Linked DNA regions of Nothobranchius furzeri. The protein of the gene in region 3 purifies or fractionates together with the protein of the main gene of each other region. This does not show direct contact. Links are inferred from orthologs where the notes say so. Each region holds a gene or a part of one and is shown on either strand. Other genes may lie near its edges. The genes, in order: tectonic-3, tmem231 and tctn2.

Evidence for each region.
Region 1: the proteins of tctn2 (region 3) and tectonic-3 purify together in Homo sapiens (affinity purification with mass spectrometry; 3 studies listed by BioGRID and IntAct, with this or other methods). This does not show direct contact. The link is inferred for Nothobranchius furzeri from reciprocal best matches to the Homo sapiens genes TCTN2 and TCTN3.
Region 2: the proteins of tctn2 (region 3) and tmem231 purify together in Homo sapiens (affinity purification with mass spectrometry; 3 studies listed by BioGRID and IntAct, counting the BioPlex papers as one, with this or other methods). This does not show direct contact. The link is inferred for Nothobranchius furzeri from reciprocal best matches to the Homo sapiens genes TCTN2 and TMEM231.

The regions. Positions count from the first base shown.
Region 1 is NC_091756.1:34,784,638-34,792,236, forward strand, and holds the start of tectonic-3, read right to left. Parts: upstream 4,974-7,599; 5' UTR 4,847-4,973; coding exon 4,447-4,846; intron 3,822-4,446; coding exon 3,707-3,821; intron 3,630-3,706; coding exon 3,529-3,629; intron 3,447-3,528; coding exon 3,334-3,446; intron 3,249-3,333; coding exon 3,140-3,248; intron 1-3,139.
Region 2 is NC_091744.1:86,199,485-86,206,974, reverse strand, and holds the start of tmem231 (transmembrane protein 231), read right to left. Parts: upstream 4,848-7,490; 5' UTR 4,615-4,847; coding exon 4,476-4,614; intron 2,702-4,475; coding exon 2,535-2,701; intron 2,153-2,534; coding exon 2,024-2,152; intron 870-2,023; coding exon 726-869; intron 300-725; coding exon 218-299; intron 116-217; coding exon 10-115; intron 1-9. Other genes in the region: gabarapl2 (gamma-aminobutyric acid receptor-associated protein-like 2), read left to right, coding at 5,372-5,405, 6,277-6,332. UniProt on the Homo sapiens protein: Transmembrane component of the tectonic-like complex, a complex localized at the transition zone of primary cilia and acting as a barrier that prevents diffusion of transmembrane proteins between the cilia and plasma membranes.
Region 3 is NC_091757.1:45,963,762-45,971,359, forward strand, and holds the start of tctn2 (tectonic-2), read left to right. Parts: upstream 1-3,349; 5' UTR 3,350-3,417; coding exon 3,418-3,517; intron 3,518-3,704; coding exon 3,705-3,818; intron 3,819-3,965; coding exon 3,966-4,036; intron 4,037-4,149; coding exon 4,150-4,351; intron 4,352-4,443; coding exon 4,444-4,544; intron 4,545-4,641; coding exon 4,642-4,841; intron 4,842-4,931; coding exon 4,932-5,046; intron 5,047-5,138; coding exon 5,139-5,292; intron 5,293-5,368; coding exon 5,369-5,452; intron 5,453-5,540; coding exon 5,541-5,663; intron 5,664-5,746; coding exon 5,747-5,821; intron 5,822-5,923; coding exon 5,924-6,013; intron 6,014-6,128; coding exon 6,129-6,246; intron 6,247-6,345; coding exon 6,346-6,449; intron 6,450-6,557; coding exon 6,558-6,705; intron 6,706-6,811; coding exon 6,812-6,955; intron 6,956-7,039; coding exon 7,040-7,128; intron 7,129-7,308; coding exon 7,309-7,430; 3' UTR 7,431-7,598. Other genes in the region: si:ch211-225b11.4 (tRNA (32-2'-O)-methyltransferase regulator THADA), read right to left, coding at 1-566, 647-844, 968-1,104, 1,179-1,263, 1,337-1,479, 1,605-1,725, 1,817-1,939, 2,015-2,163 and 4 more.

The DNA.
Region 1 (7,599 bases), on a different chromosome or scaffold from region 3:
AAATCAAAGTTTTTTTATACAGCTCTTTTAAACAACTAAATGTTGACAAAAGCGCTTAAATATAAAAGGAGATCCTAAAAGAACGTAAACTGGGTACAGGACAGCAATTAGCATACAACGCTACACTTACTGGAATAAACAAACAATTAAGGAAATGTGGAAATACTGGGACAGTGTCACACTCTAAAAGTCAAGGAATAAAAGTCCATCCATCTTCTTCTGCTGATCTGGGGTCAGGTTACAGGGGCAGCAGCCTAAGTAAAGAGGCCCAGACTTCCTTCTCCCCAGCCACTTAGGCCAGCTCCTCTGGGGGAACCCTAAGGCGCTCCCTGACCAGCCGAGAGACACGGTCCATCCATCGTGTCCCTCTGGTCTCCTTTTGGGTTGACAACCTCACCAGGGAGGCGTCCTGGAGGCATCCTAATTAGATGCTCGAGCCACCTCAACTGGCTCCTCTTGATGTGGAGGAGCAGCGGGTCTACTATGAGCCCCTCCCGAATGACCAAGCCTCTCACCCTATCTCTAAGGGAGAGCCCAGCCACCCTGCGGAGAAAACTAATTTCAGCTTGTATTTGCAATCTCATTCTTTCGGCCACTACCTAAAGCTCGTGACCACAGGTGAGGGTAGGAACGTAGATGACCGGTATACCGAGAGCTTTGCCTTGTGGCTCAGGTCTCTCTTCACTATTGGGCCATTCCCATCTGTACCGGGTCGGCCCGGGCCGAGTAGCCCCAGTCGGCCCCAGCCTGGCCCGGTTGATTCCACACATCCTTGTCTTAAGCCCATGTGGGCTGATTCTACCCACCAATCAGAGGCTTGCTCTAATGGAAGGTGTGAATGGGCTGATTCTACCCACCAATCAGAGGCTTGCTCTAATGGAAGGTGTGAATTTGCTGTCAGCAGTGGGTGTGTCGGCCCTGGTCGGCCTGAAGCAGTACCCCTCGGGAAGAGGGCCGAGAATGAGCCTTGGTTGGCCCGGGAAAATACCAGGCCACCCAGATATGTAAACAACCTACGCTACCCGGCCCGGGCCGACCCGGTACAGGTGGGAATGGGGCTTTAGACAAACCGGTACAACGCTCACATCACTGCAGACGCAGCACCAATCCGCCTGTCGATCTCGCGCTCTATCTTCATTTGAGACAGGACCTCATCCCTGACCTGGAGAAGGCCTTCTACCCCTTTACTGGCTCAAGACCATGGTCACAGATTTAGAGACGCTGATTCTCGTCCTAGCTGCTTCACACTCAGCTGCGATCAACTCCAGCGAAAGTCAGGGATCACGTTCTGATGAAGCCAACAGGACCACATCATCTGCAAAAACGCAGAGACCTGATCATTAGGCCACTAAAACGGATCCCCTCAACACCTTGGCTGCACCTAGAAATCCTGTCCGTAAAGGTTATGAACATGTGACAAAGGCAGCCTTGGCAAAGTTAAACTATCACACTGGAGGCAGCTCCAATAGTAAGCGTTTATATTTAGGGACCTCTGGTTATGAGTAGACGACTCAAGGGCTCTTGCTGAACGCTTAAACAGGGCAGTATCAGGCCTTTTAATGATTTACAAAGAAAAAGTTAGTCATTTAAAATCAACCCAAAATGCAACAGGAGGCCAGTGAAGAGAGGTATGTTCAAACTTCCTCGTGTGCATCAGAAGGCCAGCAGCAGCGTTCTGGACTGCCTGAAGGTGTGACACAGACGACTTGCCAACTCCAGAATTCAGTCAGAGCATTACAATGGTCAAGACTGGAGCATGAATCACTATCTGAAGGTCGCTATGGGAGAAACTGGCTTGACTGTTCAGTAATCTTAGATAGAAAAAACTGGATTTCCCCACCATGTTTGTCTGTCTGAATTCTGGTTGCTATCAAACACAAATCCTGGATTTTTACTGATTACTTTTAATGTGGAACCAAGGCTCTGATTTAAGGAGGTCGGGACATTAAGGTCACCAGACAGCACACATTCAGTCTGGCTTTCACTGAGATGTAGGGAATTCTGTGCTATCCAACCCAGAAAATCATTCAAATGGTCAAACAGAGGCTGCAATGACAATCCTTTCAGTGCTCTCAGGGGTAAGAAGGTAACTCAAGAGGTTGAGCGGGCTGTCCAGTAATCGGAAGGTTGCAGGTTCGATCCCGGCTCCAGACAGAGAATTCCTTGGGGAAGACACATAACCCACCTTACCTGCTGGTGGTGGTCGGAGGGACTGGTGATGCCTGCGCTCGGAAGCCTCAGTGCGCCCCAGGGCAGCTGTGGCTACATCATAGCTCATTATCACTATCCGTGTGTGTGTGTGTGTGTGTGTGAATGGATGAATGATGGCTTCATTCATGCATTTTCCTGTCTCAGCTGCAAATTTTGCCTTTTACTTTGAAAGTGCCATAAAGTCTTAATGGAAACTAATCTCGTCATCAGGCCCTGCTCCTCTTCCTGAAGCTAGTCTCTAGTCTGAAACCTGTCTCTCCAGGTCAGCACAGGATTATGGCTTATGCGACTGGTGTCATTTGACAGACTTGGTAGTCCAGTGGTTAGAGTGCCAGGTTGGACACCTTAACCACTGGATCACCATAAACAACACAGCAACCGATCCGCCTAAGACGCTGTTCTAGGCACATTTTGTCAGAGTGGGCATGGGCAAAGTTTCACTGAAACAGGTGTAAATTCAAGCTGACGAAAATAACCCGTATTTAAGATAAATTACATCTCAATAATGCTAACGGAAATATTTGATCACATATTGTGCCTACCTTTGCTCTCAAAGGTTTAAAATAGCATGATATGGAAGCGACTAGTTCCCCTAAATTTGACAAGAAAATCTCATGCTCAGTGCTGTCTAGATTTAAACCCAGATTGAAAATATTCCTCAATAACTAAAGCTGAATAAAGACAATTCTTTCTGATACTTTTAACAAGAACGGCCATTTAGACACGGGTTTGAAGTTAGACAGCACTGCTGGGTCCAGGTTGGGATTTCTGTTTAAAAGACGTTCCAAAGGGGAAAAAAGTATAAACCTGCCCTTATTTTTGATGTTTTTACAATCTATTAACTCAAACAAAGATGATAAAATCCTGTTAACTCCAGACAAACTCCCTTTTAAAGAGGAACCATTCGGTATAGCCTTTCTGAACTTACTTGCAGGGTTGCGGTTGAAGCAGAAAGCAGAAGCTGCTCCAGCAGAAGGTTGACGAAGGAGACCACGGACAGAGGAGTTGGAGAAAAACGTCTGGATAACATCATCGGCCTAAAACAAAATGTCAAATATCTGTGATTAAATATAAAAACCAGGTTGTTTTGTTTGAACACATCCTGCCCATACGCCTGTTTACCCTGTAGAAGTGCCTGCTGTGCCTGATGAACATGTGTCCTGATGGTGAGAAGTGGTACGAGTCTCCTAAAGCTGGACTCTCATGGAGGGAAGGGAGAGACTGAGGAGCAGCAGCTGATGGGCGGTAAACAAAAAAATAAGAACAGATATGAGTGTCTGATGAATTATACAAAACATTAAAAAAACATCTTTTTACCTTTGGAACGCACACAAAACATGGTGTCAGTGACGGTGACAAGAGATGAATCAACGTTGGCTCTGAACATGAGCCACTTCTCAACGCAGACTTCAGATCTGCTAAAGAAAAGTTATTTTACACCTTAAATTATACTTTTGTCTGTGACACAGGAGGGGAGAGTATAAGGACGGCCTACATAACTGCTGGTGAACATCCAGTGAAGATGGCTGTTAGGTTGGCAGCATCACAATCAGCTGTGTCACAACAGCAGCCAATGTCACAAAAATCAGGCGTTAAATCGCAGAGACAACCTGAAAGACAAGAGGGAACACTGTAATCATACAACAGATAAAGAATTCATATAAATGATAAAAACGCGCAAACATATAATACAAGACCCAAATCAACCCCCCCTTCTGTGATTTAAATCTACGAGCAGACAATTTTTATAAGATGCAGAGGAGGTAAACTCTCTTATGGACATAATGAAATGCATTTAATTCATCTCCTAAAAACGTTTGCAAAACAATCTAAAAGTTGATCAAACCAAGTGAGAGATTATCCAGATTACATGTGGGTTACATGTGGGTGAACAAGAATGACCCAAGTTGAAGAGTGAGGTTAGAGGACTCAGTGCTAAGTGGAGAATGTTGAAGCTGGAGAAAAATGTCAGCTGTGATAAGAGTTTCTGCAGGAGACCAGAGATGCTGCGTGGTTTAGAGACAGCAGCATCAAGGAGAAGACAGGAGGCAGACGTGGAGGCAGCGCAGATGAAAATGCTGAGATCATTGAGATGATTTTATTACATAACACTCATTTGTCCTCTGGATCAAGTGTGTATAATGGCATTGTTAAAAGTTTTAAGAGTGAGGTCCGGATGACTAAATTGGTTTTAGAAACTTTGCAGGTTCATTAAAACAAGGTTAAAGGTCTTGCCTTCTCCAGATATCACGGTCTGGACGGTGGTTGTAGGTGATGGAGCCTCAGTTATGGAGGGATTAGTAGTTACCATGGAGTCCCGTGGAGCTGTTACCAGGGAGTCCTGTGTATTGGTTACCATGGAGTCCCGTGGAGCTGTTACCAGGGAGTCCTGTGTATTGGTTACCATGGAGTCCGGTGTAGTAGTTATCATGGAGTCCAAAGCGGGCGGACGGGTTGCCTGCTCAGTGACTCCCGAACCCCCCGGAGCCGATGTGGCTGAGCTGAAGGGCCCCCCTATTGTCGGAGGGGTGTCCACAGCCCCAGCGGTCCCCTGGTCTGCAGCTGCGCGAGCCCCAACTCCTCCATAGGAAGCGATGTAAACATGGAGCCAAAACAAACACCAGAAACGCGTCATTTCTCCAACTTGGCGGTGCTACGAACACCTATCCACACATTCAAAAATACTCAAAATATCTGACTTTCCAGAGGTAGCGTTTGGCTAAATGCTCAATCATAGCAACCTCCTTGTAACTAAGGAAGTTGTCAACAAGACTTCCGGTTGGAACGACAGATCTACCGTAAAACACGTAAAAGATAAGGAATATTTGTGAATCAGAGTCGGTCTGAAAATTTGTGAAAATAATAAAAACTTCTGAAAGCAGGTTTGAATTTTAAAAAAAGCACATATTCTATAGTTTTATGGTTCAGACCCATGTTCTGACCGGACACTCAAGGACTTGATTTAATGAGGAATGTTTGCACATTATGTCCTTGTGTGTTACTGTTTCCCCGAGCGGCAGCAGTCACATGCCGTTACAGGATGTACTCTTGTATTGTTTACACAAGCGCTGCTTCACCTCTTCCTTCCAGATTACCTGAACTACCTGCCCTGGCATGCAAAGGCAGAGAAAAACACAGACTGTATGAAATTGCCCCAGGAAGAGTCTAATTCTAATAGGTCACAAGTTTATGTAAGTAGTGTGTGTGTGTGTGTGTGTGTGTGTGTGTGTGTGTGTGTGTGTGTGTGTGTGTGTGTGTGTGTGTGTGTGTGTGTGTGTGTGTGTGTGTGTGTGTGTGTGTGGATCCTAACAAACTGAATAATAGCCAATAAAATCCAAGTACAAAGAAATAACATGAAAAAATAATGAGCAGGTGTCCTCAATTTGTTCAAGGGCTGGAGTTTTTTTCCTGCAGACACCGTGAGAGCCAGATGCCCTTCTAAAATTAAGTTAACCTTGCAGGCTCAAAATAAGTTAAGTCCTTCAGGGGTACTTCTGAGTTAAAAAATGCTCATTAAATACGTATCTACCTGGTAGGTAGATTTCAACTGTTGCAAATCTGCAATGCCTGCCTCCAGAGGGTTAAAGTATTATTGATTCTTAATGCATTAATATTTAAAATGTCTTTTTAACTCCATCATTCAGTCATCTAAACTGTTTTGATAGTAGTTTTAGTTGTGTTTTTCAATGAGAATGAGAAATGAGTTTAGTGAGAAATTAAAATCAATAGTACAATCAAAATAGTACAACAAAAAACATTTACAGGTTTACAAGCAAACACACAACTTACACAATTCAAAGAATGGGTGCAGGCAGAAGCATAAGCTGATAAGCCCAACCCCCAAACCCACTTAAGCAAAATTTTAGAATAGCATACCGATTCCATAATTTATACATCATTATCGAAATTTATTGAAATATATTCAAATCCCCATTCTTGCTTTATAAAAAATAATGACCTTTAATATTTTATAAATTTTTTTCATTGACTTGATTCACAATATTTAATCACGTCGTCGTCATCATCGTCTTCCTCCGCTTATCTGGGTCCGGGTCGCGGGGGCAGCATCCCAACTAAGGAGCTCCAGACCGTCCTCTCCCCGGCCTTCTCCACCAGCGCCTCCGGTAGGACCCCATGGTGTTCCCGGACCAGATTGGAGATTTAACCTCTCCAACGTGTCCTGGGTTTACCCGGGGGGCTCCTGCCGGCAGGACATGCCGAAACACCTCCCCAGGGAGGCGTCCAGGAGGCATTCTGACCAGATGCCCTAACCACCTCAACTGACTCCTCTCCATCCGGAGGAGCAGCAGTTCTACTCCGAGTCCCTCCCGAATGTCCAAGCTCCTCACCCTATCTCTAAGGCTGAGCCCAGCCACTCTACGGAGGAAACTCATTTCGGCCGCTTGCATCCGCGATCTTGTTCTTTCGGTCATTACCCAAAGCTCATGACCATAGGTGAGGATTGGGACGTAGATCGACTGGTAAATCGAGAGCCTGGCTTTCTGGCTCAGCTCGCTCTTCACCACGACTGATCGGCTCAGCGTTCGCATCACTGCAGACGCCGAACCAATCCGCCTGTTGATCTCCCGATCCCTCCTACCCTCACTTCTGAACAAGACCCCAAGATACTTAAACTCCTCCACCTGAGGTAGGACCTCTCTCCCGACCCGGAGTTGGCAAGCCACCCTTTTTCCGGCCGAGAACCATGGTCTCAGACTTGGAGGTGCTGATCCTCATCCCAGCCGCTTCACACTCGGCCGCGAACCTACCCAGCAAGAGCTGAAGGTCAGAGCTGGATGAAGCTAGGAGGACCACATCATCCGCAAAAAGCAGAGACGAGATTCTCCTGCCACCAAACTCGACACACTCCACCCCACGGCTGCGCCTAGAAATTCTGTCCATAAAGGTAATGAACAGAACCGGTGACAAAAGGCAGCCCTGGTGGAGTCCAACCCTCACCGGGAACAGGTCCGACTTACTACCGGCTATGCGGACCAAACTCACGCTCCTCTGGTAAAGGGGCTGAATGGCCCTTAACAGAAAGCCACCCACCCCATACTCCTGGAGTGTCTCCCACAGGGTGCCCCTGGGGACATGGTCATAAGCCTTCTCCAAATCCACAAAACACATGTGGATTGGTTGGGCAAACTCCCATGCCCCCTCCATCACCCTTGCAAGGGTATAGAGCTGGTCCACAGTTCCACGGCCAGGACGAAAACCACATTGCTCCTTCTCAATCTGAGATTCAACTATCGATCGGACCCTCCTCTCCAGTACCTTGGAGTAGACCTTTCCAGGGAGGCTGAGGAGTGTGATCCCCCTATAGTTGGAACACACCCTCAGCTCACCCTTCTTAAAGATGGGGACCACCACCCCGGTCTGCCACAC
Region 2 (7,490 bases), on a different chromosome or scaffold from region 3:
AAAGGATATCTGATGAGCTCCAGCGGGTAGCGGATTTCAGCGTTAAGCTCAAAAGGTGAACCAGCAGCATGTCCTATAGTCCACACTGGCATTGGACAAGACAGCACAGTTGTTACTAAATAAAAAAGAAAAGACAATTATAAAATTATAAATACTTCATTATACAAAACCCGAGACCGTGGGCGTCGGCAGAGAATAAATCCCTCTGCTTACTTACCGTTTCTCTCCTGGTAGCTCCTGATAATGTTGCTGAGGTCATAGGAACTTGCAAAGGGGCTGGTGCCATCGATCACTGACACCTTTAGGTCAGTAAACACAAAAAATAATACTTTAACATATTAATTTAACATAGGGCTGCACAGTGGAGCAGTGGCTAGCGCTGTTGCCTTGCAGCAGGTCCTGGGTTCAAATCCCAACCTGAGGTCTTTCTGCATGGAGCTTGCATGTTCTCCCTGTGCATGTGTGGTGTCTCTGCGTACTCTGGCTTCCTCCCACAGTCTAAAAACACGACTGTCACGCTGATTGGTTTTCTAAACTGCCCGCAGGTGTGTGTGCATGGTTGTTTGTCCTGTGATGGACTGGAAACCTGTCCAGGGTGTACCCCGCCTACTTGCCCAGAGACTGCTGGAGATAGGCACCAGCCCCCCCACGACCCCGCATGGACAAGCGGGTATAGACAATGGATGGATAAATTAATATAAATAAGGAATAAACACTATTCTCACATTGTAGATGTTGTACAGGCCCCGATGAGGAAGCGGTGTCCTCTGCTGAAGCCTCAGGTCTCCACTGATGAACAGTTTAACTCCAGGTACAGGTGAGGAGTGCTGCACATAAGCCAGACTCTGCATCACCACTGTCGACATCCGCTAGCAGAAACCAGAGAAATAGAAATGCTCTGACTATTAAATTAAACAACAATAATTTAAAGGGACTTTTCGGACTTTTGAATTTTAATGCCTGCGATTGCCCCCTCAGGCCAAAAGCATAACAGCAGCTTCAGTAGTAGGCTCGTACACGAGGCGTGCACGCTGTACGTGCACACTCCTTAACGAAAATAACAGCTGAGACAGTCCCGTGTGTGTGTGTGTAGGTGTGTGTGTGTGGCCCGGAGGACAAAAGAACACACAGATAATTAATTAAATAATTTGGTTCTGTACCTTTCTCTTCAGCACAGCCGACAAAGGTTTATGACGGGTCAGTCCTCCTGCATGCTCAGATCATTCCCTTCCCTTGCTTGAAAAATTGTTCCAAAATGAAAGTTGAACCCACATCTTTTTTATCTGTGAATTCAATGCCGTTCAGCGAGTCTCAAATAAAAATTTGGGCATCTTACTGTAAAAAATATACCATTAATGTAAAAAATAAACTCTAAATAAACTATGTTCACATCCAGAATCAAACCCAGGTCTTCTGCACGAGAGTCAGATATCTTACAAGGTGAGCTACACTCTAGTAACATTCAGACTGTCTAACATTTATATCCTTGATGACAGCTGAAACAACGTTCAAAGAACGGTTCGGAGTGAAAATGGCTATTTTGTTGCTAATTAGCAGGAAATATCTAGAAGAAAGTTCTACAGAAAGTAGCTAAGGGTCCTCAGAAATGTAGCTAGCTTTGTCACTAGGCGTTAGGAACAGCGACAAAGTGGCACTGCCTCTCTCTCTGCTGCTAAAGCTACGGATAGCAAACGCTACGGGCGATGCCTGAGCGTGAACGCGCATGAAGCAGCCTGCTCGACCCGAGCATCTCTCTTTTTCTGTGATTTTACATAAAAACAGGCAATCACAGTAAAAATGCCAGGGCTCATTCTACAGGACCAGGGCATTGCAGGAGAATGTATGAAGAAGACATTTATTATTTCTATACATGTTTTGGCTGTCACACTTCCATAATGTCCCTTTAATGCAAAGACGAAGTGGCTGAAATATTTCTTCAAAGCACGTTGGACACAAATAAAAATCCTCTTCCTCTGCATGGAAAGAGCTCTTTGTGAGACGGCTACTGGAGTGGGATACATACAAAGAGCTGGTAGCTGAAGGTGAGCAGCAGCTGAATGCTGTAAACTTGTTCATCAGGTTTCAGCGGAAGCTGCAGTTGCAGGTTCAAACGGTCCAGTTTCCCATCCTGGTTCAGGTCCTCCTCTCTCACCTTTATGAAAACAAAACACAATTTTCATTTACAAAACAAAAATACATAATTACAAAAGACAATCTTGCAGAGGCACAAGAGACTCGTGGAAATGAATGATCCTCCTTTAGAGTAAAAATGTGTTTTAGCTTTTTCTGGTTTCTTTATGTTTTCACTTTCACAAATATTAAGCACCTATTAAGTCTTTTATGTGAATTTTCTGTGTTCTGACTCACTGCTGGCTGGCTGAGCACCAGCATGTTTTTTACTTCAACAGTATTCATCCTGCTCTGGTTGGCAGTCAGTCTCAGCCTTTTAGGTGTAAAATATGAAATCAAAGCTGCAGAGATTTTACCAGTGATTCAGAAATAACTTAAGGGAGAGGAACGTTGAGTTTTCTTACAGAGATAGTGGGGATACGTAGGTTGGTCCCAAGCATGTTGTTAAGGAAAGGGAAAGTGCTCCAGGCAACATAATGTCCTTGAGCACTGGTTGCTGCTAACAGCAAAGTCTCGTACTGGAACCTCACAACCGGCTGTTCTTCGTAAATGCTTCGTTTTATCCAGAAACCTGAAATGAGAAGAAACTAAAGCAGTGAACTCTATCTGCTCAGAGCGTCAGATACAGTTCCACTCAACTCCTTTCTCCACCTCATCTTCTCGTGAACGTCCACTAAGCTAATTCACACGGGCAATAACAGCTCTTCCATGAAAATGTCTTTGACATCCAAAATAATCATTTTCAACATGGTCAAATATTTTAAACGTTGTTTTTTTTAGGTAAATGACAATTGGAAACAGTCAGTGGTGTGTTAAAAAAAGAAACAAAGCTGTCATTTAGACTAGATGCTGTAAAACAATGTGTGAAAGCACTGTTATCAGGTAAGTTACTCTTTTATTTTTATTGCTGCTATAAAACTTTATCATCTCAGCAACTGAAGGTTTTGTAAAGAAGCTCTCGAGTTGTTGTCGAGATTATAAATCTCACAAGCTAAGGTGATCTGCGGAGTAAACCATGTGTTTTTGTTTCCATATTAAGTTTGTGAACAGGAACGTTTCCTGTAAAATCTGGTGGATTAACACAAGTGAGATTTCCAGACATTGACAAGAACTTGACGTTGCCATGTTGCTTTATTGGTCGTGCTAAAATCACAAGTTATGGAGCACATTTTCAAATCTTAATGCAAAAAATTCTTAATTTTAAGAGAAATTTGTGTATGTTTTCAATAAGTGAACTAGTTTATTGGCAGTGTCTAAATATCACATGAGCCAAAATGGATGCTGATTGGTAAATATTAGATGAGTTTTCCAGATTTATTAGTTTTGTTTTGCAACAGGGTTAAGAGTGGGAATCTGTAGAAAGCTACTTGGAGAATTAAATACCTTCAGGGTAAAAAAAAAACTGCAAATTACCTACTGAGAGGTATGTGTAAAATGAGAATGAGACTTAGCTGCACAAGCAGGTTTCTGGCTCAAAGATGATCAACTAAAGTTCTGCAGCCTTTGTTGCTGAACATAACTGCTTTTCAGAGTTTCTCCATATGATTTAGCAAAAGTTGGGGTTGTCTAAAGTATAAGATATTCAGCACCTGCTGGTCAGATCTGTACAAGAACTGAAAACCTGTATCAATCTCAAAAACCAGAATGGATGCCTCTCTAATATTGGACCAGCAGCTCAAGAGGCACAGCGGGTTGTCCAGTAATCGGAAGGCCAAGTGCAGCTGTGGATACAATGTAGCTCATCAGCGTGTGAATGTGTGTGAATGGATGAATGAAACACTGTAGTGTAAAGAGCTTTGGAGTCCTCCGACTCTGAAAGGTGCTGTACACGTGAGGTTCGTTTATCATTATTTAAAAGAAATAATTTCAAACACAAAACTGAGGCTTTTTATTGCAGGTTTCTGCAATATTCTCCAAGTTAATTACGAAACTTTCACTCATCAATCACAATAAATGCATATTTTATTTGTATTTTTTTTCAGTCACATCACAGTATAAAAGCATGAAAAGTTGGTCTGTAAATATCCCTGTTATTTTATTCTATCATTATGTGAATTTAATCTGGGATTGGTTTTTCTGCAGTCACTTGATGGTCAGATTAAATATCTTTGTGATGGTAACAAATACAAAAAGGGCAAAATTATAATAAGATAATAAAAAACATTCAGTAAACCTTCCTTCAATAAACTTTACAAGACTTGTTCCCTCCATAAACCCGAGGTTTTGGTGAACCTAAGCATTTGTTATTACTTCTTGTCTCTGTAACTGAGGATTTACACATCGTAGGACATTTGAGGAGACACGATGAACAGTTAATAAAAGCTTTCTGGTGACCGTTACTGTACCTTGACTCCTGTATGCAACCAGCAGCGGTGGGATGTACGTAAGGCATAAAACAACAACCAGAAATAAGGTAGCTGTTGTACAAACACTGGTTTTGTACCGAACCACGGCCGGGTGAGAGTAGACTTCATAAAAAGCCATGAGTACCCGCTAGCTAAACGCTAACCGCTAACGCGGATGCTAACTCGGGTCTAATAAGAGAAAAAGCTCACAAACATATTTAACTCATATAAAGCAATGTCCATCTAGTTGAATGTGGAGTCAAGCAGCCCCATAAAGACATATTCATCACGAAATTTGGCGTTTAACATGCTATTTTTGTTAGCCTCTGTGATTATCGGTGCGGGATCCCACGCCATGTTAGCTAGGCGTCTGGCGGTTACCATGGCAGCCAACGACCAGACTGCGTTCACGCAACGTTTGAGAGTACGGGAACCTTTTTTCCAGATGTGGAAATGTTGCTATTTTATGAGGCGTCTGCTACTCTTTTTAATTTTGATGAACATAGTGTAGAGAAACTATTTACACAGACTGTCTTGGGGGCATTTTTTAGAGATTATGGAAATCATTTATTAGGTATTTTTCTTATGATGTTACTCATTCTGACTGTATGTGTTATTCTGTTCTTTAGAAAATAACAGAAATACAAACAAGCGCCTTTACCATTATGTTTTATGTGTGTGAGGACTCAGTCACGGATAGACCGACTCTCCCGGAGAGCCCGTGAAGGCAGCACTCTGTCAGACGTTGACGTCACCTCTCCGCTAGACGCACAGCTGAAAGGCTAATTTGACGTTGTTTTGATTGCGTTTGTCTGGATATTTGGACAATTCGCCGACATTACCCGCAGATTTAGAAGCTTCTACGCGTCACGCCTCAGTGCGGGGATCCAGCAAAGATGAAATGGATGTTTAAAGAGGACCATTCCCTCGGTAAAAGGGTTTGGATTGTTATGAAACAAGAGATGCTCTTGTCGTGTCATCCCACCTTATTCTGTTTTACTGTCCCCGCATCGTTTAGCAATGCCACCGCTCATAGACGCAGTAATGCATGCTTTTATTTTTTGCCATTTGCACGACTGCTGTAATTCGATTTCGCTGCATGAAACCATTTTCCCTTTTTGGTCGCTTTATCGTTGCCCTAAAAGCAAAATCAGCTGAATCTGCTCTGATTCCTGTCTTTACACTGTGTGTTTACACCTTTTGATAATGTTTGACCTAAACACCTAATGTCAGAACAAATCCAGCAAGAATAAATTCTTATATTTTTTTAATTGGCTAAGAGACCTAATGAAAATACAATTTGAACATGTAAGTCAGGATTGTTTCAAACGCATTAACAGTAACTGAACTCACATCTCATTGGAGCCATTTCTGTTATGTAACTCAGCTTTTGTGTGGAAACTCTCACCGGATAACCTTTTTAAAGAAACACATCCAAAGTAGGCCTCTTATCTGGGTTAATGAAAGCCTGCACCTTATCAACTATCACCTCTCCTCCCCTCCCCGGGCCTCATTTTCTGCATTGCTGCATGTCCTGCCTAAAATCAATGCACACAATGGCATCAATCATGATTACAATCACTGTGAAAGGCAGCTAGTGCCTTAATTTGATCACAAATTGTTGTTAGAGTTGATAATCCATTTTATGCGTGCTGCATCTTGTGTGAAAAGTGTCTGCTGTGCACAGGGAGCTCTCTGTGTTGAACAAGGCTTGGCTTTAAGATGGCAGAGGAAGAATCCCAAGAGGCCTCACTCATCCTTTTAATCTCTACTTCCTGTTTGTTTTCTGTCCCTCCCTCAGAGCACCGATGTGTGGAGTCAGCCAAAATACGCAACAAATACCCTGACAGAGTACCGGTGAGTCCAGGGGGTGGGGTGCACTGGCATGACAGTAAATCAACAGATTAAGCTGTCTGAATGTAACCTGCAGGGACGCAGAGCTGAAGTCAGGAGATTTAGTTTTGTTGTTGTTTTAAACTGATCTCCAGCTGAGGAAAGAAATAAACAAACAGATTTTTAACAAATCAAATCTATTTCATTCTCATGATTTAAAGAGCAAGTCACCCCCCAAATCAACTTTTTTTCTTTCTGATAAACTATATAAATGTGTGTCTAATCGTGCTGCAGACACGTGTCATCAATAGTTTTGCACTTAAGTGCATTTTAGTCGTCCTCGTCTTCCTCCGCTTATCCAGGTCCGGGTCGCGGGGGCAGCATCCCAACTAGGGAGCTCCAGACCGTCCTCTCCCTGGCCATCTCCACCAGCTCCTCCGGCAGGACCCCAAGGCATTCCCTGACCAGATTGGAGATGTAACCTCTCCAACGTGTCCTGGGTCGACCCGGGGGCCTCCTGCCAGCAGGACATGCCCGAAACACCTCCCTGGGGAGGCGTCCAGGAGGCATCCTGACCAGATGCCCAAACCACCTCAACTGGCTCCTTTCGATCCAGAGGAGCAGCGGTTCTACTCCGAGTCCCTCCCGAATGTCCGAGCTCCTCACCCTATCTCTAAGGCTGAGCCCGGCCACCCTACGGAGGAAACTCATTTCGGCCGCTTGTATCCGCGATCTCGTTCTTTCGGTCATTACCCAAAGCTCATGACCATAGGTGAGGATTGGGACGTAGATCGACCGGTAAATCGAGAGCCTGGCTTTCTGGCTCAGCTCCTTCTTCACCACGACAGATCGGCTCAGCGTCCGCATCACTGCAGACGCCGAACCAATCCGCCTGTCAATCTTCCGATCCCTCCTACCCTCACTCGTGAACAAGACCCCGAGATACTTAAACTCCTCCACTTGAGGTAGGACCTCTCCCCCGACCCGGAGTTGGCAAGCCACCCTTTTCCGGTCGAGAACCATGGTCTCAAATTTGGAGGTGCTGATCCTCATCCCAGCCGCTTCACACTCGGCCGCGAACCTACCCAGCAAGAGCTGAAGGTCAGAGCTGGATGAAGCTAGGAGGACCACATCATCCGCAAAAAGCAGAGACGAGATTCTCCCGCCACCAAACTCAACACA
Region 3 (7,598 bases):
TTTAGGTTCTGAGGAATGAACCCCCTCAGTATCACCAGCTCCTCTTTGCTTGGAGCGTCTTTGGTCTTTGAGCTGCAGCAGAGCAGACTGAGAGCGGCAAGGCGTATTTTATCGTCTGCGGACCTCAGAGCGACCTGCAGGGTTTCCATGGTGGAACCGCCCTGAAGAGACCACGGAGAAGAGCCGGTGACAGCTCGGTAGCAGCTCAGGATGCAGGTCCAAGCGCGGAGGTGGCGGTGTGTTTGAGGGTCCAGCGAGGCCAGCAGGAGGTCCACTGCAGAGGGGAAAACCTGGAAGGTGGCGGGCAGTAGGTGTGATGAGCTGCTGCTCTGTAGGAGAGTCACATCTGACCTCAGAGCCTCAAGAACAAAAGGCTGCCAACGCTTCGCCCAGCGCTTAGCCAGATCCACCTCAGTGGGACAGGAGGAGTTCTGTGATCCTCCACAAAGTTCTCTCCTCTGCTGCTGGATCAGACATTTATACAGCTCTGATCCACACGGGGACAGGTGATTGGTTGACAAACACTTCAGAAGGTGATCAAACAACTCGGGGTATTGGTCCAGCACCTGATGGTGACATGAACTAGAATTAAGGTCACGAATTATAATCAAAACATGAATGAGGACTTAGTAACTCAAAACCTCACCGTGTCAGTGCCCAGGTACGGCAGCAGGGCACCGAGGCGGTGATACAGAGCTCTGGTCTCCCAAGGCAGCTTCATGGTTCGCTGAAGCAGGGTGAAGAAAAAAGTCGTGTTTGCATCAGAAAACTTCTCACAGTCCTGGTTAAAGAGGCTCAGCAACTGGAGGAAAGCACTGTTGACAAATTCAGGCACTCCGTCTATCTGCCGAGGCACAGAGACAAAGGTGATCATCAGTCAGTGATGCGATTGTTTCTATGATTAATGATTTAATTCTGCATCCTCGACACGAGACAGCATCTGCGTTAGTTATTTCCAAAGGCTCACGGGGCTTTCTGCATTGGTCCAGATGATGTGCTGGAGCTGCTGCAGCAGGAGACTGTTCTCGGGTAAAAGACGAACACCCGTCATCCTCCAGAGATCATCGACACTTTCTTTCACCCTCTTCAGCCACAGAGTTAAAGCTGCAACAGCAGGTCATGGATGAACGGGCGATTCTCACTGAATCGGTCAGCTGACTGAATGGAACGTCGCTCACCTTCAAAGGCAAAGCAGTGGCAATCCAGCTTCTCTTCGCACAGCGAGTAGACGAGGGGAAACAAACCGTCCAGCAGCAAGCACGTCTAGTGGAAACAGATCGATTTGATAATAAAACCTAGAGTAAGTCAGAGAGGTTTCCTACATCTGTGAATGCACCTGTGAGTCATCCTGGGAGCCGCGTAGGATGTGAGGTCGGCAGCAGGTCAGGAGGCCCCTGCACACAGCCAGCCGGTCCACTCCATCCTGAGCAGAGGGGTCACACCGGACCTTCAGAGCGCCAACCATCAGCTGCCAGGGCTCTGAGGAGAAACGCACAGTCAGCAAACACAATCTGATGCAGCAAATATTAAATCAATCGCATGATTTACGAGTTTTAACAGTCACTACTTGATCTGCTGTGTTTGTTGCACCAGCTGTGACTTACTTTGGTGAGAGACCTGCAACAGACCCCAGGCAGCTTCTCCTCCAGCTCTGCTCTCGGATGCCGTGTTAATCAGCATCGCCACAGCAGTCCCAGCTAAAAGACGGGCATCCCTGTTGGAGCACTGCAAGACAAAACGTACACCAAGCAGCTGTAACAACACAGGTTGTCATCCAAATGAACGACTCCAAAGTCAGAGTAAAAAAAAGAAGAACCTGTCCAAGTATAATGTCCATGAGAGCCTGCAGGATCATCTGCACCGCCGGGTCTCTGCTGTCCTGCTCCCAAACATGAGGAGCAAGTTCCCTGGACAGCAGCTGGAATATCTGCAGACACACCTGCAGCAGGTGCAGTTCACAGGTTAGTAACAACCGTTACACAAATCATTCATGATGCATGATTTAAACATTTACCTTCACAGCGACGTAACACAGCGGTCCATCTCTCAGGGACTTGTCCTGCAGGACAACAGGAAGCAGCTCAGACACTTTGATCAGCATGGACTTGTATGAATCTCGCCACACTTCACGACCAACAGAGCTGTCTTCCAGGAACATGCATGCTGGAAGGGGTAAAAAAAAATAAAATTACATTTCAGTGACTTCAAAGTAAAATACCTCAATTTTAACCAACCTCTCTGCAAATCTTCTAAAGACAAAACCTAAAAAATGCACATGATCAAAGTTATTCCACAAATCTAAACACAAATAAATTAATAACAAACAACAATGATTTTAGATACCTCTACCTGATTTCTGTAGACTATTGAGTGAAAACTGTGAAGGGTTTCTCTGTAAACCAGCTGGTGGTCCACCTTTGTCAGATGCAGCAACATCTGTCAGACAGATATGAACATTTTTATCAATCAGATTTAGTAGAAACTGTTGCACCATGAAGAGGGACCGTGTTGCTGACCTGGTCCACTTTGCGACAGGCCGTGGAGATGCTGGCCATCTCCAGCTGCAGGGATATGAGGAGTCTGGCAAGGAGCAGCAGATGTTTCTCCTCCAAACTACGAAGCTGAGCTACAGATGTTTGTCTCAGCAGCTGGACAGCCTCCTCTAAACAGCGCTCCTTACATCTTTTTACCTTACTCCTGTACGTACAAGAATCACAATCAGGTTTATTAGCATTAGACAAAAGCAAGTGATTATTTACGAGTTTGTAAAATTAAGCAAACAAGCAGAGATGTGGAACTAACCTGGAAGATTCAGAGAGTTTTTCAAAAAACGAATTAAGTGTTTTACTTCCGGGATCGGGAGCGGAATCCTGGATGATCAAACTGTTTTTCAGACTTGTCAACAGGTTTTCAAACATCGTTGTATTAATTAATCCTTAGTGAAGATCGTTGTTGACACATTCTCAAGAGCACGTTGGTTAGCTGGTCACGTGACCTAATTTTACTTCTACTGAAGTTGTGTCGTGTTGTGAAAGTGACGTGCTGCCCCCTACTGGCTGAAAAGGAAATCATCCACATCTTTAACAACATGGTTAGTAAATAAATGTTCATTCAAGAGTTCGCAAACGTTCAGCACTTACGATTTATGAAGCTAATGTCTGTCCTGAAGCTGCTTTTTTGTCCCCATACTCCCCCTGCTGCGTCTGTTTTCCTGGCGAGGCGCTGCCAAACTCGAAAACAAAAACCCACGAAGCGCCTGTTTGCTGCGTAACGTTTCACACTTCCACATATGACCAGGTGGGGGCGGTGTTGCTAACACAACCTTTACCTCATCCAAGCAAGAACGCTTGTCTGTGATTGGTTAAGATCCGCGTTGCTAAGACATCACAAATAGTTTACTAATATGTCGACTCTATAATGGCTAATGTGGCTAACGCTATCCTTTCTGTGAACATTTCACGTCATGCTCTATCCATCGTGCTACTTATTTACTTGGCTAACTCCCAAGACATTGTTGGTAAGACGCGTTTAATAATTATCTACTAGTAACCCACGAATCTTACTTGAACTAGCTAGCATTTCTTGATGCTAGCAATGGAGCTAACAGTTTCGCGTTATTTTTTTGAAATAACTGTTAATGCATTCCTTTTGATATTTTTGAGAACAAACGCTAACATAAAATAGTTTTGTTTTTCTTTCATTAGTTTTCCAGCCGACATTTCTCGTTGCTTCTGGACCAACCGTCACATCGTATCTGCTGGGGAACACCTCAGGAGTCTCCCTGACGCTGAGGAAGGTTTCTCTGTCCAACACGACAGGTGGAGAGATTAATCAAAACTAAACACATACCTTCTCTGTACTGATCCTCAGCCTTTGTGCTGAATCAAAAAGTCTAGGCTGATTGGTGTTTATGTTTCAAATTTGATCAGATTTGGTGGGGAGTAAATATTTTTTGTCCTCCACAGGGAGTATTGGTTCTCCATCATGTGTAGAAGAGGCAACACGATGGACGCTGGCAACAGAGCAGATTGGAAAGGTAAGAAACTGATCTGAGTCTGATCAAAATGATCAGATAACGCTTCAATCAAGTGCAAGAGCAAATGACATAATCCACTAAGTCTATGCTTTTTGTTTTGCTTTGCACCACAGACTGCATTACGACTAACTTTGAGATTCAATCAAAGTCTACGTTTGTGTACGGAGAATGATACAACTGGTGACTGTTGTTCAAAGCCACTGTGTGTCCTGGAAACCCTTCAGGTGTCTGCCTGTGTTGGCAGCACACCCCAGGCATCACTGCTGATCCAGGCCTCCTTATATGCCCAGTTGTTCCCTACTAATGCTGGATCTGGTAACTCAAATCAAATTGGTTTCACGATATTGCAACGTGATGACTTCTGAGAGTGGGCTATGTCTTTTATTTATGGGTCATGTTTATTTCAGATAACCAGACAGTCATTCCAAACCAAGTGTACCAACCTCTAGGTGTTTGTCCCTGTGATCTGACACACAGAGTGTGTGATGTACGCTGCTGTTGTGACGAGGTAATGCTATCTGTGTTCTTGTAGTTTAAAAACAGATTTTGGCTGAATGTACTTTATGTTTTATTAATCTAAACACAATATGCTTCATCATTACCAGGACTGTTCCAGTGCAGATTTGAAGCTGGTTGCATCTCATTGTCTGCCTGGACCGTTTGGTGGGCAGGTCTCTCCTGCTCCAGAATATCAGTGCTCAGTTCAGTCCTCTGAAAACACCCCAGACTGGTTTCCCTTTTTATGTGTCCATTCTCCACCTGAAAACAGCCCATACCTCGGCCTCTTTTACCAAGGAAACACAGTGTAAGAAAGGACGTGTGTCTTTGATTATACCTGTTATTATTTTCATGTCTTGTTTTCATCATGTATTTTTTTGTCCTTTAAACTTTTTAGCTCATCTATCCCTGGCCCATCCTTCCAAAGGCCCATGTTAAAAGCTCCGGTGCCAGTTTATGTTCAAGGAAGTCCGATTGTCACTCTAAATGGCCAATTCTTCACAATCCCTCAGGTGGGTAAAAATGTTTTTATTACATTGTTTAAATTCAGATACTAACAGCTCAATTTAACAGCTGAGCTCTTGTGCATGTTTTTGTTCCACAGATGCTCTTTGGTCAGTGTCTGAAAATGGCTCCCGTGGCTTTTCTAAAGGATTTCAGTGTTGAGTGTGTATCTCTTCTCCTCTCCTGTCCCACTGGAGCTCCCTTACAAACACAGCTGACAGATCTGAGCACAGAAGTTAAAAATGGCAACGGGGGTGTGTTTCACCTGCTATGGAGGATAGCTGTTGGGAAATGTTTGGATCCAAGTGACATACTATTGTTTTTCCCCAGGAGTTGTGGTGGTGAACGTAACTGATGTCGTGATCCCTGACGTGAGTGTGTTCGTTTCTGAAAGCAGTGTCGTTAACGCCATATGTATGTATGTCTTCAGCACAGATTATTGGCACTGAAACAACCCTTGACAGTTACATTTATGATAAAATATTCTCACATTTATCCAAAGCTGAGAGGCTGGAATGCCCAAATGTGACCGTAGCCCTGGATTACAAATTCTTCTGGACAGGAAATGGCATCACGGGTATCACACTGACACGCACGGTTGGGACTATCACCTCCAATCAGAGCGGTGACTTGTAACTTTGAACACTTCCTGTTATAGTTAGCAAACCTGTGCCACATGGTGTTGACTGACTTCTGTCTTCTAAACAGTGATGCTAACTGCAAGATATTCTGCTGCGTTTCTGAACAGAGAATTCAGGCCTGAGTCCAACTCTGGAAACCCAGGTAGGAGGAAGGAAATAATAATTTTATAAGCCTCAAACAAGTTTATTGAGAATATGAAAGAATCCTATCCCATGTGATCATTCTAACTCATCTAAACAACAGGTTATCAAGTGGGAAAACCTGTTATTGCTGGTGTTGTGGAAAACGGTACAGAAGTAATACAGAGGAGAATAATGAATATTTGGAAATCAGGTAAAATCAGTTGTCATTTAGTTTATTTGTAGATAAAATCTATTTTGATACTCAGACACTTTTCAGTCCTTTCTAAATTAACAACTAACATGTTTTCTCCTGATTTGGCCTTTAGTGCATGATGGACTGTGTTCTACTGCTCAGAAAAAAATGGTTATTTTTGGTGAAAATTCAACTTCCGGTTGCCTGCTTCCTGTCAGCCGACATGATCTGACTCAGTGTAATCTCCTCAGGTCAGTGACTTGCTAGGATTCATCTTCAGTATGTACTGTGAAAGCTGCACTGTCTGTTTTTGTATTTGAGCATCAGATGTAATGTTTTTTGTGCTTTAGAGAGAAGGTCACTAATCTACAGGAAACGCTGATAGCTGCCACTTATGTGGCAAAACGTGGAAACCCAGATTTTACCAGTTTGATGGACTGGGTGAACATAAGCTGTAAGTTGACGGTGCGAAGAAGCATTGATTTTATTTCTTGCTAATATTTGTGACACATTTCCTACTCCGTCTGAAACTAAACGATGTTTTTCACATCATTTAATCTAGACGCGACTCTGAATTCAAGTGCAGCTATGGGGAAAGTCACAAGTGCATGTGATGGTGTTCCATCCCACCAACACATCCAGGTCTGGACTCTTATCACCGGCCAGATAGGTGGCATACCTCAAAGGGAAATCCATGCACTGGAAGTCAAGTGTGTATCACATCATTTCGCAACACAAATTTCACAGTGCAAGTCCAATTAGGACCACAAAGTGGTTTTGAGTTGAGGTATTGTTTCCATTTCTGGTCATTTTCAGTTATAGCCGGACCACTTGGACACTGGAATGTGGAGGAGGTGACATTTCTTCCTGCCAGGACCCAGACACACCTCAGTTGTTCTCCATCACATCTTCAGTTACATTTATTGACATCCCAGTTAACACAGGTCCACCCAAAAGCAGGTGCTGGAACGTTTGGACCACTCTTAGGAAGAACTGTGAAGCCTGAGCTACTAACATAGAGTGTGATTTTATTTTTCTCTGCAGATTTCAGATCAACTTCACAGAATATGACTGTAACAGGAATGATGTGTGTTGGCCCGAGCTTGCTTTTCCCTTCACTAGATATTTCACAGGTAAGAACGTATCCGTGGCATTTAAAATGTTAAGTTGGATGATGTGAATCAATTATTTATGAATCTGGGTGATTAAAAAAAATGATTTATTTTTAGCATTTGTGTTAAATAAATCATTCCCAGAGTGAATTAAGAATAGTAATGATATAATAATGCTTATTTGACCTTTTCTTCCTACAGGTGAGCCTTATTCTCAGTCGCTGGCTAAAGGCATGGTCTTGGTAGGAATGTTTATTGCAGCCTCGATCCTTGGGACTCCATGGAGACAGATCAGACAGGCATGGCACAATGCTGCTCTCTAAAATAATTTAAAAATGGTTGGAAAAGATGTAAAGGATGACATTCAGGCCGATAAAGGGAAAGTAAGATTCAAAAGGATGACTATCAGTGTGAAATGCTATTTTTCTATTAGAGGTGGTAAATTATTTTATAGTTTTGAAGTGGTTTGTAAAGGGTTGACAGTTGTAATA